Linked DNA regions of Struthio camelus. The protein of the gene in region 1 interacts with the protein of each later gene in a biochemical or structural test. Links are inferred from orthologs where the notes say so. Each region holds a gene or a part of one and is shown on either strand. Other genes may lie near its edges.

Evidence for each region.
Region 2: the proteins of RLIM (region 1) and LHX3 form a complex in vitro, tested with the Homo sapiens proteins (2 studies listed by BioGRID). The link is inferred for Struthio camelus from reciprocal best matches to the Homo sapiens genes RLIM and LHX3.

Annotation. Positions count from the first base shown.
Region 1 is NC_090952.1:7,277,427-7,284,663, forward strand, and holds the start of RLIM (E3 ubiquitin-protein ligase RLIM), read right to left. Parts: upstream 3,018-7,237; 5' UTR 2,787-3,017; intron 1-2,786. UniProt on the Homo sapiens protein: E3 ubiquitin-protein ligase.
Region 2 is NC_090961.1:3,432,471-3,440,167, forward strand, and holds the start of LHX3 (LIM/homeobox protein Lhx3), read right to left. Parts: upstream 3,013-7,697; coding exon 2,943-3,012; intron 1-2,942. UniProt on the Homo sapiens protein: Transcription factor.

The sequences.
Region 1 (7,237 bases):
AAAAATAAAATTAAGTAAAACTCATTTGAATTTAAACACGTCTCTAAGACTGCAAGTTCCTTTCTGATGACTAAGGTAGGCAGGCTCAAGCATTTCATTAACAACATTACATGCACATACACCTTGCATACTGAAATTAACACTGCTCTAAGGTAATGCTCTTAAGTTACTAAGTTTAGAGAAAGTAAACGTGCACTGACTTTTGTTACATATTCAATTATTATTAGCTGCTCTTACAAAACTGTGCAACTTTTCAGCCCTCACTAAGAAACGGAGCTTCCACAATCTGGATCAGTGCAAAAAACCCACCAAACCTAATAGCTAGCGCCTGGACAATACGATGGAGATACAGCCTCCTGTGCTTCTGATGTTCTTCATTGCAGCCAGGAGTCTTTTCAAAAGCAAAATGGAGTCTCTGTGATGCTACTAGCTATTCTGCACATCGAAGGAAGATCCTCTCTCTAAGCTATTACACTGCTACACTATATTCAAGTATTGTTTTTGAGATACACAGGACCATCATATTAAGATATCTCGAGGACAGGGATGTTCATGTTTTGTTTTACCCCTTCGAGGCTATGCTTTTTCAAGTTAAAGAGTCATGAAGACTGAGACTAAAAGGTACATTGCAATATATCAGCTTATACACACTCATAAACTTAGATAAATACCTTATATTCTTGTTAATGTTTTAATACACGGACACTGAATTCTCTACCAAAAAAAAAAATAGAGCAGCTTAATAACATATACTAAACAACATACCTTTAAATTGGACTTAAATGCAATCTTTAGGCTCTGTTACACAAAGTTATGTTAAGCTACAGCTGTAAAAAAAAAAACGTGCAAAACCTCCACCACAACTACAAGCATTCTATCAAGATCAAGGAATTTATTTTGATAGATTCCTATGGGGAAGAGCACTACAGGAATAAGCTATTCAAGTACCTTGATATGTAAGTGCTCTACAAATGTCTCCATTTAGGGACCACACTGCCCCTTCCCCTAAAAATACAGATACAAAGAGACACATAATGGAGGCCAAACACTTGTAACACTGTTTTCCAGCGTACCTTGGTATGTCTATGAATTTATTAATATGGAGTATAAATACAATACGAATGACAATCACTGCATGCTAAAAAGACGCTGGTGCGGTTATTTCAGAGACAAACACTTATACAGTCAGAACTGCTGATGAAAAGAATGTTGCAACTACCATGCTTTTGCGGTCTGACATAATGAGAACATCTTAATTTAACAGCATGTGGTGTTTTCCCCTTGTCATGAGCAGGCAAGACAGAATTTCCAAGCTATAATTCTTTTTGTTCCAAAATGGTAAACCTGTACAAGGAATACAGTCATTTTAGGTGCTAGTTGACCACTACAACAAAACTAAGCATCAGACACCCAATTAAGATAATTAACTGCACAAGCAGCAGCCAACTGTTTATTTTTCAAAAAGACTTGTCAAGTCACTGCAATTAAAATCCAGGGACAATTTGGTATTGGAGCTTCTTTAGCATTTTTATGATGACTTCCAACTTGAAATTAACCAGTAATTGACAATCTGGATAGGGGAAATAAATCAGATGCATGACTGTACTATTTGGATACAATCCAGTTTGAAGGCTTGTTTACTCAAAGACAAGCTTCTCTGGATAAAGCCTGCATCTTCTCAAAAAACAGTGAAACTAAAGCTATTCAAAAAATACAGTATTTTTTTGTGAAACTTTTTGGCAGGCTTGCTGTTCTACACAATAAGATCAAATTGCATAAAAAAAATAATAATTACACACACTACAACCAGATATTACTCCCTCATTAAAGATCACTGAAAATAAAAGTAATATACGTGCAGTGCTCTTGACCACGGTTTTGAAACACGGTAAACAAAAACCCTAAATGTCAGCAAAAAGTATTAAAAAAAAAAAAAGGGAAGGCGGGACTCACACACGGGAAGGTAAGGTGACAGAGCAAAGATGACGTGACTAAGCGCAGAGAAATTAACAGGACAGGAACGGCAAACATCACAGATTTTAACAGGTCGCAGTTAAAGACCCTTATAGGAGAGGCAGCAGTACAAACTCCCTTTGCCCCTCTCCCAAAACAGTGTTTCTTGTCTCCAGTCACAGGAGGGTGAACTGAAAACCCGGTCCTGAAGAACTACGAATCCTCCAGGAGGCACTAAGCGGTACGGCGAGGCCCAGGGCAGTGGCTGTAATTCCTCCCCCTACTCCCTTCAACCCCCTCTCCGAAAAGGGCCTGGTTGTGATTCCTCTGCCAGCCCAGCCGGCTCCCCAGACGGTGCGGGGCCCAGCGGCCCTTCCCGAGGCGGGAGCGCAAACCTCCTCCGGCTCCAGACGGAGGCAAGAGCCCGCGCCGCTTCGGCGAGAGGCCGCTGCCGCACACCGGCGGAGACGGCGGGGGAAAAGCCCCCGGCGGCCACAGGCCAGGCCCGTCTAGGGGGGAGCCGGGGAGGGAGGAGGAGGAGGGCGGCGGCGGCGCCCCGGGCACACCCGCCCGCACACCGCCATCACCGCCCCTGGCTCCAGCACGGCACCCCGCTCCGCCTCTGCCGCCGCCGCCGGACGCTTTCGGCCTCCGCGGCCCCGCGTAGCCACGAGCCGCCCGGCCCGGCCCGGCCCCCCGCAGCCCGCCCGGCCCCGCGCCAGCGCCGGCCGCCCCGGGCACCGGGAGGAGGAGGCCGCCGCCGCCCCCCTTGGGCCTGGGCCTCTCCCTTCTCCAGGCCATTTTGAACGCCCGCCTCCGGCCTCGATACTCACCGCCCGCCGCCGCCGCCTCCCCAGCTCTCGCTCCGCTGCTCTCCCCGGTCCTCAGCGGGCTCGGTGCCGGCTCGCCCCGCTCCGTCCGTCCCCAAACAGTCGCAACGGCTCCCTCCCTCCCTCCCCTCTCAGGCGGCCATTTTCTGCTCCATTGTTACCAAGGAACGGGGGCCCGGAAGCGGCCGCCGACAGCGGAAGTGAAGGCGAGGGCGCGCCTGCGCATGCGCCGCCTCCCGCCCAGGGGCGGGAGGGGAGAAGCGCGGCCTAACGAGCGGAGCGTGGAGGACCGCGCGGATAGAGCGGCCCTGGGGGTGGCGGGGGGGGGAAACGAGTGCCTGCCGCCATTTTGAAGAGGGGCAAAGGCTGCGAGCGGGAGTGGGGCTGGTCGGCGGCGGCGGCCGCCGCCCCCTTGCCCGCAACGGCCCGCGGGCGCGGGCTGACGGGGGCGCCCGGGGCTCCGCGGTGGCGGCGAGCGGGGCCGGAGGGCGCGGGAGCGGCGGCGGCGCCCGCGTCCCGCCGCCGGCGAAGCCTGCGCGCAGCGGGGGCCATTTCAGAGCGCGGCGGCCGGGGCCCTGGGGGCGCCCCGGGAATGGCGGGCAGCGGGGCGGGAGGCCGAGGCTGGCGAGGCAGTTGGCGGCTGTCGCCGGCCGTGGGCTGCCCCTCCGCCGCGGCCCCTCGCCCCGGCCCTCACGGCCGAACGGGGCACGGGCTGCCCAGCTCCTTGGTCAAGCGCTTTGTCATCCATTAGAGACAACTGTCGCACCGTGCAAAAGCTGGATGTGCCTGTCTTAACGTTGTTAGCCCTAAATGCTGGCCCTGCCATGTGCTATGAACCTGTTTTTGGTTTTGATTTGCTTTTTTTTCTTCAATAAAACAAATTTCTCCGCAGTGCCTCCCCTCCCACTGAAACTATAAATCCCACCTAGGCTGCTTCCCGGATAAGCGCGTCTCCCTTGTGACATCCTAGCAGAGGAGGAAAATCGGGAATCGATAAGACACAGTGGGAAGAAAAGCGTGGCTGAGAAGAAGTAGGGCAGCAAAGACCAGGAGAGAAAAAACTAGTCTCGATTTTTTTGAGCCCGAGGGGGCTGGAGTGCCCTGCTGACCATAGTTCAAGGAGAGGGAAACGGCAAGGCTTTGCAGGCTTGTCTCCAATAGAGGAAAGAAGGGATTCCCTCAAAATCCAGAAAGATCCCACTGGCCTAACTTAAAAATATCTCAAAAAGGACCTAGGAAAAATCAAACAGAGGTGATATCCAAGAAACTCATCTTCAGTTTTAGGCAAGATGCAATGCATGGAGGAAAGAGATTTCTGGAGATTTGCGTGGTTTCAGGAAGACCACGCTGGTTCTTTGCTTTTCTCCGTTTGTTTATTACAACAGTAGTGAGATTACTGTCAAGTTTAGGGGTGGGTTGCATTTAAAATTCATTGAAACTGAAATGGGAAAGAAGACACAGGCCCAACGTTTAATGTAAATGAGGTGTTTTTAAGTGCTCACAGTTTGAATGTTTGCACTCGGGTTTGAGAGCTGAAGCCCAGGAACAGTGTTTGTGCTGGGGAACAGAGCGGTCTGTTACGGGGCGTATTCCTCACCAGTTTTACTCCCTACACCGTGGCACCCGCAAAGGGAACGGATTAGAAACACGCTGAAACTAAGGTCCCGATGCCAAAATTACCAGTACTGGAGAGCTGCGGTCCCGGTTTCTTCTGGATCAGATGTAGCTATCCGACTACGTTTTTCTTGCATTGGCCAGAGGACAAAGCACGGAAGTTTAGGCCAGCTGCAGGAGGGTAGACGATACCTGATACGGCGTGGACTCGGCGTGACAGAGAGTCGATACCTAATCCGACATCAAACCTGCTGACAGGAGGTTAACCTGTTACATGCTCAAAATCAAATTGGAGCTGGGAGAGTGAGTTTAAATCAGATCAGTGCTTTGCATCGTGGCTGCGATATCGATCCTGCATGACGGCTGGATTTAGTGGAGGGTCAAACCGTCACTTAGCAGATCTGATCGTACTGTGCAATGTGAGTGAAATTTCAAAAAAAAAAAAAAAGGAAAAAGTAAATTTAATGCCACAAAAAAATCGCAGCTTTAATGAGCTGAAGTTTTTGTTATTGGCAAAAGTTGCGTTGCTTATATAGAGCTGTTCCTGACATACAACAAACTGATTTTTCTCTGTAGACGGTGCCCCTGTCACTGGCAGATGCCAGCGGCTGGAAAAACTGTATCCCGTGAAGAGAGAAAGGCTGGGGGAGCGTGTGTGTAAACTTCTAATTTTCGTCAGCCATCTTTGACACAGCCAAAAAATTAATTCCACTGTAAAACATCAATAATTCAGGCACCAGATGATCCGCACACAATCGATGCACTTTATCATGAAAGGCTTTGTGCTGCCGATTGACAAGGCAGCCACTGAGGGCGAGTATTGGCAATTAGTGAATCAAGAGGATGCCTGTCGGGGTACTCAGCTGAAAGACCTCCAGGAACGGTAACGAAATAGGTGACGCAACTGTGACAAAGCGATTCAGGCATTAAAGTGAATCCTGTATTTTCTCCCTTGCCTCGTTGAATGGCGGACGAGGTCACGGTGGGATAAAAGTGGCTTTGTGATACACCGGTAAGCTATGCAGCAAAATATTAGGCATTACTGAGCAATGCCTGGGGAGAAGGAGCGTATCGTAGCGTTCAAACTGAGGGCAAAGATGATGGTTCGCGCTCCTGGAACGGCCTCAGCATATTTTATGATCTCACCTGGCAAGCAATTTTATTCATTTGTCTCTTTCCCTCAATAAAACGCATTTCGTTGATTAATTTTCCTGAAAGTCTTGCAGCCCATCGAATGAAAAGCAGCAGAAGAATAAAACGCGTTTTTCATTACTTCTGCGGGTGAGTTCAGACGCTTAAGGCAGACGTTTGGCGGTTTGCTGGGAGACGAAGGCCCAGCGACGCGCAGCGGCGGCGGGTGACTTCGGCTGACTCGCGCTCAGTTGCAGCACGAAAAACGTCCAGCTAGGGCCTGGGGCCGACCAGGAGGGACGAGCGCCTCCCTCCCCACCTCAGCAAGAACTGGTGACGTTTATTTGCAGGTGTCGTCACAGGGTCGAGCAGGTGCGGAATAAGCTCTGGTCCTTCAGAGCCACTCACTGGATGTCAGCGTCCCGTGGATATGAACGGCATTTAATGGCTTGTGCCCACGTACCTCCTTGGCAGCGTTGAAAACGTGAGGCTCAGTGGAGCAGTGTATTTCAGAGAGTTTGTAGGAGGAGGAAACATCTTTGCATAGAGAACTTTCCAGTATAGGGAGAAAACCCAAAAGCTATAGCAAAAGCATGGCGCAATTCATCTTTAAGTGTTTTCGATTTGATAATGTATGTATAGCGAAAGAGAATTACAACACTTTTCCATGGTAAGTTTAATGTCTTTTCCTTTCAATGAGGGTAAACAAATTTGCTTTCAAATCCCCCAGAGTGTTAAAAACTGGTTATATGGAATGCAGGGATAGATGAGAAAAATGGGGGGTTTTTTTGTCTAAAAAGGTATTAAAATAATATATTCACAATATAGATAAGGAATAATCCAAATGCAGTGAGGCAGAGTAAAATTTGAATCTCTGGGGAGTTTCTAAAGCTGAAGCAAAAAAAAAAAAAGACTTGACAAATTCAAATCCTTGTATACTCGAAGTATTAGCAGAGCCAGATACTAAACAGGTAAATGAAGTCAATTTACTCTAATGTGGCAGCCTGGAACAAGCTGAAGAAGAAGCCTAAGGATATAACTTTGCTCTTTTCTCTGTGTCAATACTGACCGCGTTGCTTTACCATGCGGTAACAGGCCTTTCCCTGGATCAGACAAGTGGATGGAGGTTCACTTTTTTTTTTTCTTTTTTTTGGGATGGGAGGACAGAGGTTTATGTCTTATGACTATGGCAAAGTATTTTCCATTCAAACAATATCTCCGGAGGATATTCAAGTTGGTCACTTTTAAATCAGACAATCTGGCATCCAAGAATTTTAAAGAGCTGGAGGAGGTGATCTTTGCACCTTAAAGAGGGATTTTTAATAGTTTTCAGTGATTTGCCAGATTTGCAAGTTCAGATCGGAGACTTCCTTGTTAGGCAGCGCCGCACTCTCAAGAGACCGTGCCGGATTCACTCAGGTGCCGTCCCTGCACAGCGAGCGCATTAATCCCCAGCCAGCTTGGAGAGCGGGCAGAACAAGCACAAGCCTGTCTGCAAAAGAGCAGGTAGCTCCATCGCGTTTTGCAATAACGCAGGGGACTACAAAAGACTCAAGTAAAGGCTGAGCCCTGTTTGGATGGCAAAACCTGGGGGGCAATGTATGGCCTTTACTTGAGCAAACGTGGTGCATCATGCTGATCAAACGTCATGCTGACGACGATTCCAAGCGAAATAACGTTGGGTTGATGAGAGGCTTTGCTAATAAATC
Region 2 (7,697 bases), on another chromosome or scaffold:
CGGGGTGGCAAAAAAAATTATCAAAAATAATGAGAATTGTACAGAAAATAAAAACCCTGTAGGCTTGCCTCGTCGCCCTGCAGATACCGGTAGCGATGATATAGATATAGATACAGATATAAATAGATATAGATAAAGATACAAAAATAGACAGATGCATAAATATAAAAATATATGAATACGTATAACTATTCATAGATAAAAATATACAGCTATATAGATATAGCTATAGAGATATCGATATATAGGTATAGCTATAGATAGGAAAAGAGGCAGACAGATATACAGAAATATACCAGTATAGCTATATCGGTATAGATAGATGCAGCTATATGGATATCCATATATATAGATATCTATATAAAGACATACATAGAGATGCATAGTGGTAGATAGGTGTAGAGGTAAAGAAAATATCGTTGTAGGTATAATAATCTCCTCAGCAATCAACCACATTCAAACAGATAGCAACAGCAACAGCAGCGGCAGCCGCGGGAGCAGCGGTGACCCTCAGCCCCCGGGGGCGCTGGCCCCGGCTCGGCCCGGCTGCCCCGGGGAGAGCCAGGCTGCCACGGGGCTCCTCACTGCCGCCCCGGCCCCCGGCCCAAGACGGCACGGCCGCGGCACGGTAACACGGCACAGCCCCGGGACACGGTGACACGGCAAAGCCCCGGGACACGGTACCGCGGCCCAACCTCGGGCACGGTAACATGGCAAAGCACCGGGCACGGTAACAGGGCAAAACCCTGGCACACGGTACCACGGCGCGGCCCCGGGACACGGTTACACGGCAAAGCACCGGGCACGGTTCCGCGGCACGACCCCGCGCTCCGCGGCTCTTACGCTGCATGGCGCCTCGCCGGGCCGCGGCTGCGGCTCTCTCTCAGGCGGGGCCCTGGGGCTGGGGCATCTTCCGCGGGGCGCGGGCACAGCCCCCGCGCTGCCGCCCCCAGCCCGGCGACGGCGCCCGGGCAGGCGCCGCCCGCCCGCCCCGTCGCTCCCGGGGCCGCGACTGGGGTGCGGAGCCGAGGCGCCCCCGCCCCGCCAGGCCTTCCGGGCGCCGAGCTCCCCCCCCCCCCCCCCAGATCACGGCGGCAATAACCCCCCGCCGCTGCCCCCCCAGCAGCGCCAGGGATTTAATTCGCTCAAGCAGGTTATTTTTAGCCCCCAGCCCTTGCCCGGTGCCGGCTGGAAGCGCCGGGCAGAGCATCCCAGGGCGCTATATTTAATCCCCCCCCCCCCGCCCGGGGCCGGCAGCCGGGGGGCACATCCCCTCCCGCCGCCCCTTGGCGACCGGGAACGGTGGGAGGACGGCGGCTCCGGGGCGCCCGGGAAACGAAAGCCGGGCGGAGCCGCCCCCCGACGGGGCCGGCGGCGGGCAGGGGGCCGGGCCGGCCCCGGGGGCCGCACCGGGGGAGCGCCTGGGGGGGCAGCACCCACCGCTCCCGGGAACTCGTTGTGCGCTGCCCGCCTCCTCGGGCCGCGGAGAAACAGGGATTTACCCTCCCCGGGGTAAAGCGCCCGAGCGGCTCGTACCCACCGCGGCCGGCACGAACGAACGGCCCCCGCCGGGCCCCGGTGCTGCCGCCGCCGTGCCCTGGGGCGCTCTGCTCCGCTCAGCCCCGCGGCGCCGTTTGCCGCAGCCTCCGCGGCGCCCGGTGCCTCGCCCGGCCCCGGCCCCGACGGAAGCGGCGGCCCCGCGGGCGCTGGCGAGCCCGGGAGCCGCGGAGCTATTCATAGGCGCCGGGTGCTGCGGTCAAATGGCTTTTCCGCGTACTTCCTTGTACCGTGAATCCACTTGCGGCTGTTTCGCTTCTTCCCGCTCCAGCAAAACTTATCTCCCGATTTGCGGCGTCAAACGCGCCGTCGCCCGCGGCTGCAACAACCGCAGCGCGCAGAGCCGCCGGGCAACGCACCGGAAAGACAGACCGGGCGCCAAGACCGGGGAGGAGCTGGGACACCGGCCCGACGGCGGGGGCTGCCGGCTGCCCGGCCCGGCCGGCTCAAGCCCGGCTCCGTCCCGTCGGCTCCCGCCGCAAACGGGGCAGCGCGGGGCCGGGGCGGGGGCTGCGGAGCAGCGCGGAGCAGCGTGGCTGGGACCGGGACCTCTCCGGCCTCGGCTCCTCTTTATTTTGTTTTTAAGACACCTCTCAGCCGCGGGCGAGCGCGGGGCCCGACGGGGCGGCGGCAGGCGCCTGCGGAAAGCCGGGCGATGCCCCGGGACGGCTCTGCCCCCGCTCCGCCGGTCCCGGCACCCAGCGGCCCGGCCCGCGACGGCTCCGCACAAATGCAGGGAACGGGCGGTCCCGGGGCGCGCAAAAGCCCGCGCAGTTCTCCCCCACCCCGACAGCGCCGGCGCTTTCTCCGTTTATTAAATGGGGGAGAAAAACCCGTTTATCAAAGGAATTAACGGGAGCGTTTCCTTGCGGGGGAAACACGACCGGAGCCGGAGAGGGTGGCGCAGGGGGTGCCCGCCGTCGGGGAGGAACCGGCGGCTGGAAACGCCGCGTTTCGTTCTCGCCCTCGTTGCGCGGGGAACGGGGAGCCCGAGCTCAAACCCGACGGGACGAAAGGGACGGAAACGGGCGCGGGCGCCTGGAGCGGGCGCGGGGCCGGAGGCGCCGGGGGGTGCGAGCAGCCGTGCCCAGCCCCAGCCCGGCACCGGCGGCTGCGGGGTTTGTCTCTTATTTCGGGGAAGAGGCAGGATGAAGAGCGAGGGAGCGTGGGGCGGGCGGGCGGGGAGCCATCGGGCGGGAGCCTCACACCGCGGCCTCAGGCCGCCCGCCTTCTCCTGCAGCCAGCGCCAGCCGCGGCCCGACGGTGCCCCGGGGAGCACGGCACGGCTCCCTCGGGCCGCCCCGCTCCCGTCGGGGCTCGCAGAGCCGCCGCCGCTGCCTCCGCGGGGGGGACGCGGCGGTTTACGCGCGCCCCCCGCCCCTCACCTGGGCTCCGCGGGAAGGGGCAGAGCTCCGCTGCCTTCTCCGAGCCGGCGCGGACCCGCTCCAGCAGCATCGCGGCCCCGCGGGCGCGCCGGGCGCCGTCCGAGGTGCGCGGCGGGCTGCGGAGGAGTGGCGGAGCGGCGCGCAGGGGAGCGCAGGGCAGCGCGGCGGGGGCTGGCCGCCGCCCGGGGCGGAGCGGAGCGGGGCCGGCGCGGAGCGGGGGGGGGCGGGCCGGGGGCGGCACCGCGCCGTCGGGCCGGGCCGCAGCTGGGCGAGTTACACCGAGGGGGTCTTTAGCATCACAAAGGCGGCAGCGGCGGGGGGGGGGGTTGTCCCCACACGTCCCGCGGGGGCGCATCGGCCCCGGGCCCGGCCCCCCCGAAGCCGCCCGTGGGCGTGGGGAACCGTCCCCCACCCCGCATCGGTAGCGAGCAGCCCTCAGGCCGGGGGGTGACGGGCTCCAAGTGGCGATGGGGGGACATGGTGACGGGTGTGTGTGTGCACGCATGTGCAGGGTGCGTGTGTGTACACGCATGTGTGGGCCAGGCGGCACACGTGTGCACGCTCACAGGGCTATGGGGAGTTTTGTGTGCGTGCGGGCGTGTGTGCGCGTTGGCCTGCACGTGCAGCTGCGTGCAGCTGTGTTGGTGTGTGCAGGGGTGCACGTGTGCTGGTGGGGGGGGTGTGCACAAGGCTGTGTCTGTGCGTGGGTGTGCATGCAGGGGTGTGCCGGGCTCCGCGTCGGCAGGTGCGTGTGTGCAGGTGTGCCTGCTGCTGTGAGGACGTGTCTGTATTTGTGTGCGTGTGCATCTGTGCGTGCAGAAGAGTGTGCACACACAGGTGGGTGGGTGTATGCGTGTGTGGCAGGACGTACATCTCTGTGCATGCGTACGCACTGCTTGCCCCAGGCAGCCGGAGCTGATAATTGTGGTTGTTACTGTGAGCCCGTTAATCCCCCGAATCCCTTTACCTCCTGCTCGCAGGGGATTACAAATTAATAAAAGCAGCTTAGGGGCGGGAGCCTCCAAACACACATATGTTCCTGCCCGGCGGCAGCACAGGGACTTTCGCCTGCCGGCGGGGGTGGCCCCGCTGTGATGGTTGGGGGCAGCGGGCCCAGTCCCAAGCCCCCCAAGCCCGACAGCACCCGTCCCGGCCCTGGACCCAGCACTGAGCACCACCGGAGCTGGGCCCCATCCAGCTGTGCTCCCCTTTGGCCTCGTTGCTGCACGCAGGGCTGTGGCGGCCCGACGGCTCCATCTAGGCCCATCTCCCCACGGGGTGCAACCGGCTGGGGAACATGTCCCAGGCTGGGTGACAGCTTGGATCTGCAGGACTGGAAAATAATGCAGGGGAGGGGGGCGTTTTGGAGTAGGAGAAGGATCTAGAGTCCCTCAAAAAAGTACCAAAATATCAGGCTGGAGCAAAGCTGGAATACCGGTGGAGTACCACTGGTGCCGGGCTGGGTACCGCTGGGTACTGCGGCCACCTTGCTGCAGTGGCAGCCAGGTGTCCTGGTGAGTCCTGCTGGGTACCGCTAGCACCCGGCTGCACGGGGGCCTCAGGACCCTCCCTGGGGACACAGTCCCTAGTGGGGCAGCTGATGGCTCACAGGGTCTCTTTTAAGCTCAGTTTTATAAGTGGATTTTTTTGTCTGATCCTCTAAGGAAGCAGTTTAGGACCGTTGGGGGTGGGGGGGGGGAGAGCATTTCCTCTGGAAGAAGCCCTGGGGGGTTTACTGGCACGTGCGGGGGGGCAGGGGTCGGGGCAGCGGCACAGGCTTCGCAGCACTGGGCAGGCGGCTGATGCCTGCTCAGGACCGGCGCTAGCAGGCGCCAGCTCCCCGCAGCCACCTGCCCCCCTCCAGGCCTGGGGCCTCGGACAGCTCCACGTTAGCTCTCAGTCCCCGCTGGCTCCCTGGTACCCACCTGGTGCCTCTCCGATGTGGCCCGCAGCCCCTTGCAGACCCAGCTCCAAGCCCCAGCCCACCCACTCTGGCTGCCACCAGGGTCCTGGGCACCCCCATCCCCAAGTGATCCATCCCTGCAGCTCAGCAGTTCCCTTCCTGTAGCATCAGTCCTGGCCCATGAGCTGCCTCGCTGTGATTCTGCCACCATAAAAAAAAAAAAAAAAAAAACTTAAAAACATTTCCTGAGGTCAATAACAGAAGCCTAAAATGTATTTGCACCCAGTTCCCTTCTGTCAGCTTTTTTTGCAGACAGACCCAAAGGTCTGTACTGTGAGGGACAAATTCTTCCTTTAGAGGAGCTTGTGCTTATTTCCCTCCTCCAGGAAGACGGTGTAGTACAACCATCTTCCCAACCACTTTGTGAACTGGTTCATCAGATAATGCAGTGAGTTCTCTTAGCGCCTGGTTAAAATGAGGCCGCATATCTGTTAACCTGTGGGTGGTAAGGACAGGGTACCTTTACCCCATGAACTAGCAGGGCAGATACCTGCATTTGCCCTTAAGACATGTAGGCAATGAAGGTTAGACCAGGTTTCCCAGGGGAACATGCTGGACAACTGCAGAGAGCAGGCACTGCTCTCCTGTCCGGGTCACAAGACAGCAAGGAAATGCACATTTCTCTAAAGTGGGTGGCAGTATCAAACTTCAGAGTACCTTGCGTACAGTTTATTGATTTCTGAAAACATCCTGAGGTGAGTACTTCTGCAGGTAGATAATCAATATTTTCAGCAAGTCACCTAGCCCACCATATCAGCAGCAGGCACTGCTGATGCCAGTAGAAGCCGGAAAAAAAAAATCTGCAAGTGTCTAGAGGCAGTTAGCATCACCATTGCCAAAGAAGAGATGTTCAGACTTAAGGAAAAGGAAAAAGATTTTTACAGATATGTATAAATACATAGATATAAAATACTGACAAATAACTGGGCAGAAAGTGATTTTTTTCCCATCACTCCTGCAGACATTCAGCAATGTCTTTACACATATGTTTTTTATAAAGTTACAGGAGAACACAGAAAGAAATAGAGCACAGGTTTACATGTTCCTGGTACTCCTAAAAATTATTTTAAGTTCCTGCACAAAATTACCTACATGGTTTGCAATTTATTTGTATACAGGCTACCCTTGCCATATAGCTTAGCTAAAAAGATCTCAAACACAGATAAAAAACCAAAATGCACCATTTTGTCCAAATGCTTGCAATTTATTTTTAACAAGCACATTAATTTACAGTTTAGTACAAAATAGTCACTTTTCCTTCCCAGAAAGAGGTATGAGATTAAGTTAAAAAAAAAAAAAAACTATGAAAATGTCAAATTATTGAATGACAAATAAATATTTAAATTATCAAACTGTTATATTCACCATTTTCAACACCTCATATGCAATACAGAGACCTAGAAAATACATTTTGAACCTCTTGTTAAAAAGGTAGTGCACATCCAGTTCTGAGCAGGAATAGCAGGATGCATACATTGTTTGAAATTAAAAATTACAGTTCTAGGGAATAATTTCATTAGGTTTCTTTAGCACTTACAGCTCTTCTATTCTCTGACCTAGCATATTCCACAGTACTCTATTTTCTCTGCAGGTTTAGTATTTCCTCTTTAAAAACATCGGAATAGCAAAGAAAGCTCCATGAATTACAAAGAGCCAGAAATCCTTCTTGAAAAGTGACTCACAGGAGTTTTTGTATGACCTATAAATGTTTATAAAAACTTTTGTAATATAATACAATACACAAATAAAAGTTCTGGGACTGAAGAGACAGTGGTTTGAGGCATTTTTAAAAAGGAAATACTTTCTTGTAACTCACCTACCTTTAATGCACCATGGCAAAGCAGTATCGCCCGTTCCATGGTGGACTTAATACATCCTTACTGTCAGAATATGTAAAAGGATATAACTTGTCATTATAAAGATACAAAATAATAAAAAATAAACTAAGATTTACACAACTGAACTCAAAGACAAGGAAACTTTTCCGGATGAGGTCACTACTAGCAATTAAAGTGAAAGCCTTGTGCCAGTTAGCTGGCAACACTGAAGTTATAGCACCAGCACAGATAATCAACATTCTACTTTCATGCTTTTAATACTCTCATGAAACAAAAAAGAACACTGTAACTCTGAGTATCTGTTTATTTTGCCACATTTCAAACAGGGTCAAGGCAATATGAAGTTAACAGTATGTAGCAAAAGAATAACATATTCCCAAGCACACAAGCTGCTGTTTCCATGTCAAATAATTCCTACAAACCTGCAACGCCTTTTGTTTTAATATGCAGATGAAAATAAGTTGAATGAGAGTTAAATTCAGGTCTTGCTCTTCAGCAAAGTTCAAAACCACAGCACTAATTACATATTTGCAACTTTAAAATGTGCAATGTTAATGATTCAGTCCTACAAAAGCTAGCCAAATTTTCCAGATTCAATACCTGCTATGCTGCCCAACATTTATTTATTTTAGGGACACTAAACCTCTTTGATTTTTGGCTGTTAACAAAGCCCATTCCCCCCAGTTAGGTCATTAAATTTGAAATCTCTGGGCTCTCTTCTTAACTAACCTATCCCTGGGATCTCTCTGTGGATTCTAGTACAAAACACAGGGGCACTAAAGAGCCAGTCAGGACTAACTACCAATGTTGTTTCACTATCTTTCTATAGTTGCCTACAAGTAGTTTTAATATTCAAGCCCAGACCCTACAAAGACGATTACAGGGATTGTGATAAATTCCTAAAAGAAATGATGGTTTGTTGTGTCCTACCTCTTAAACAATGAGGGTCATGAA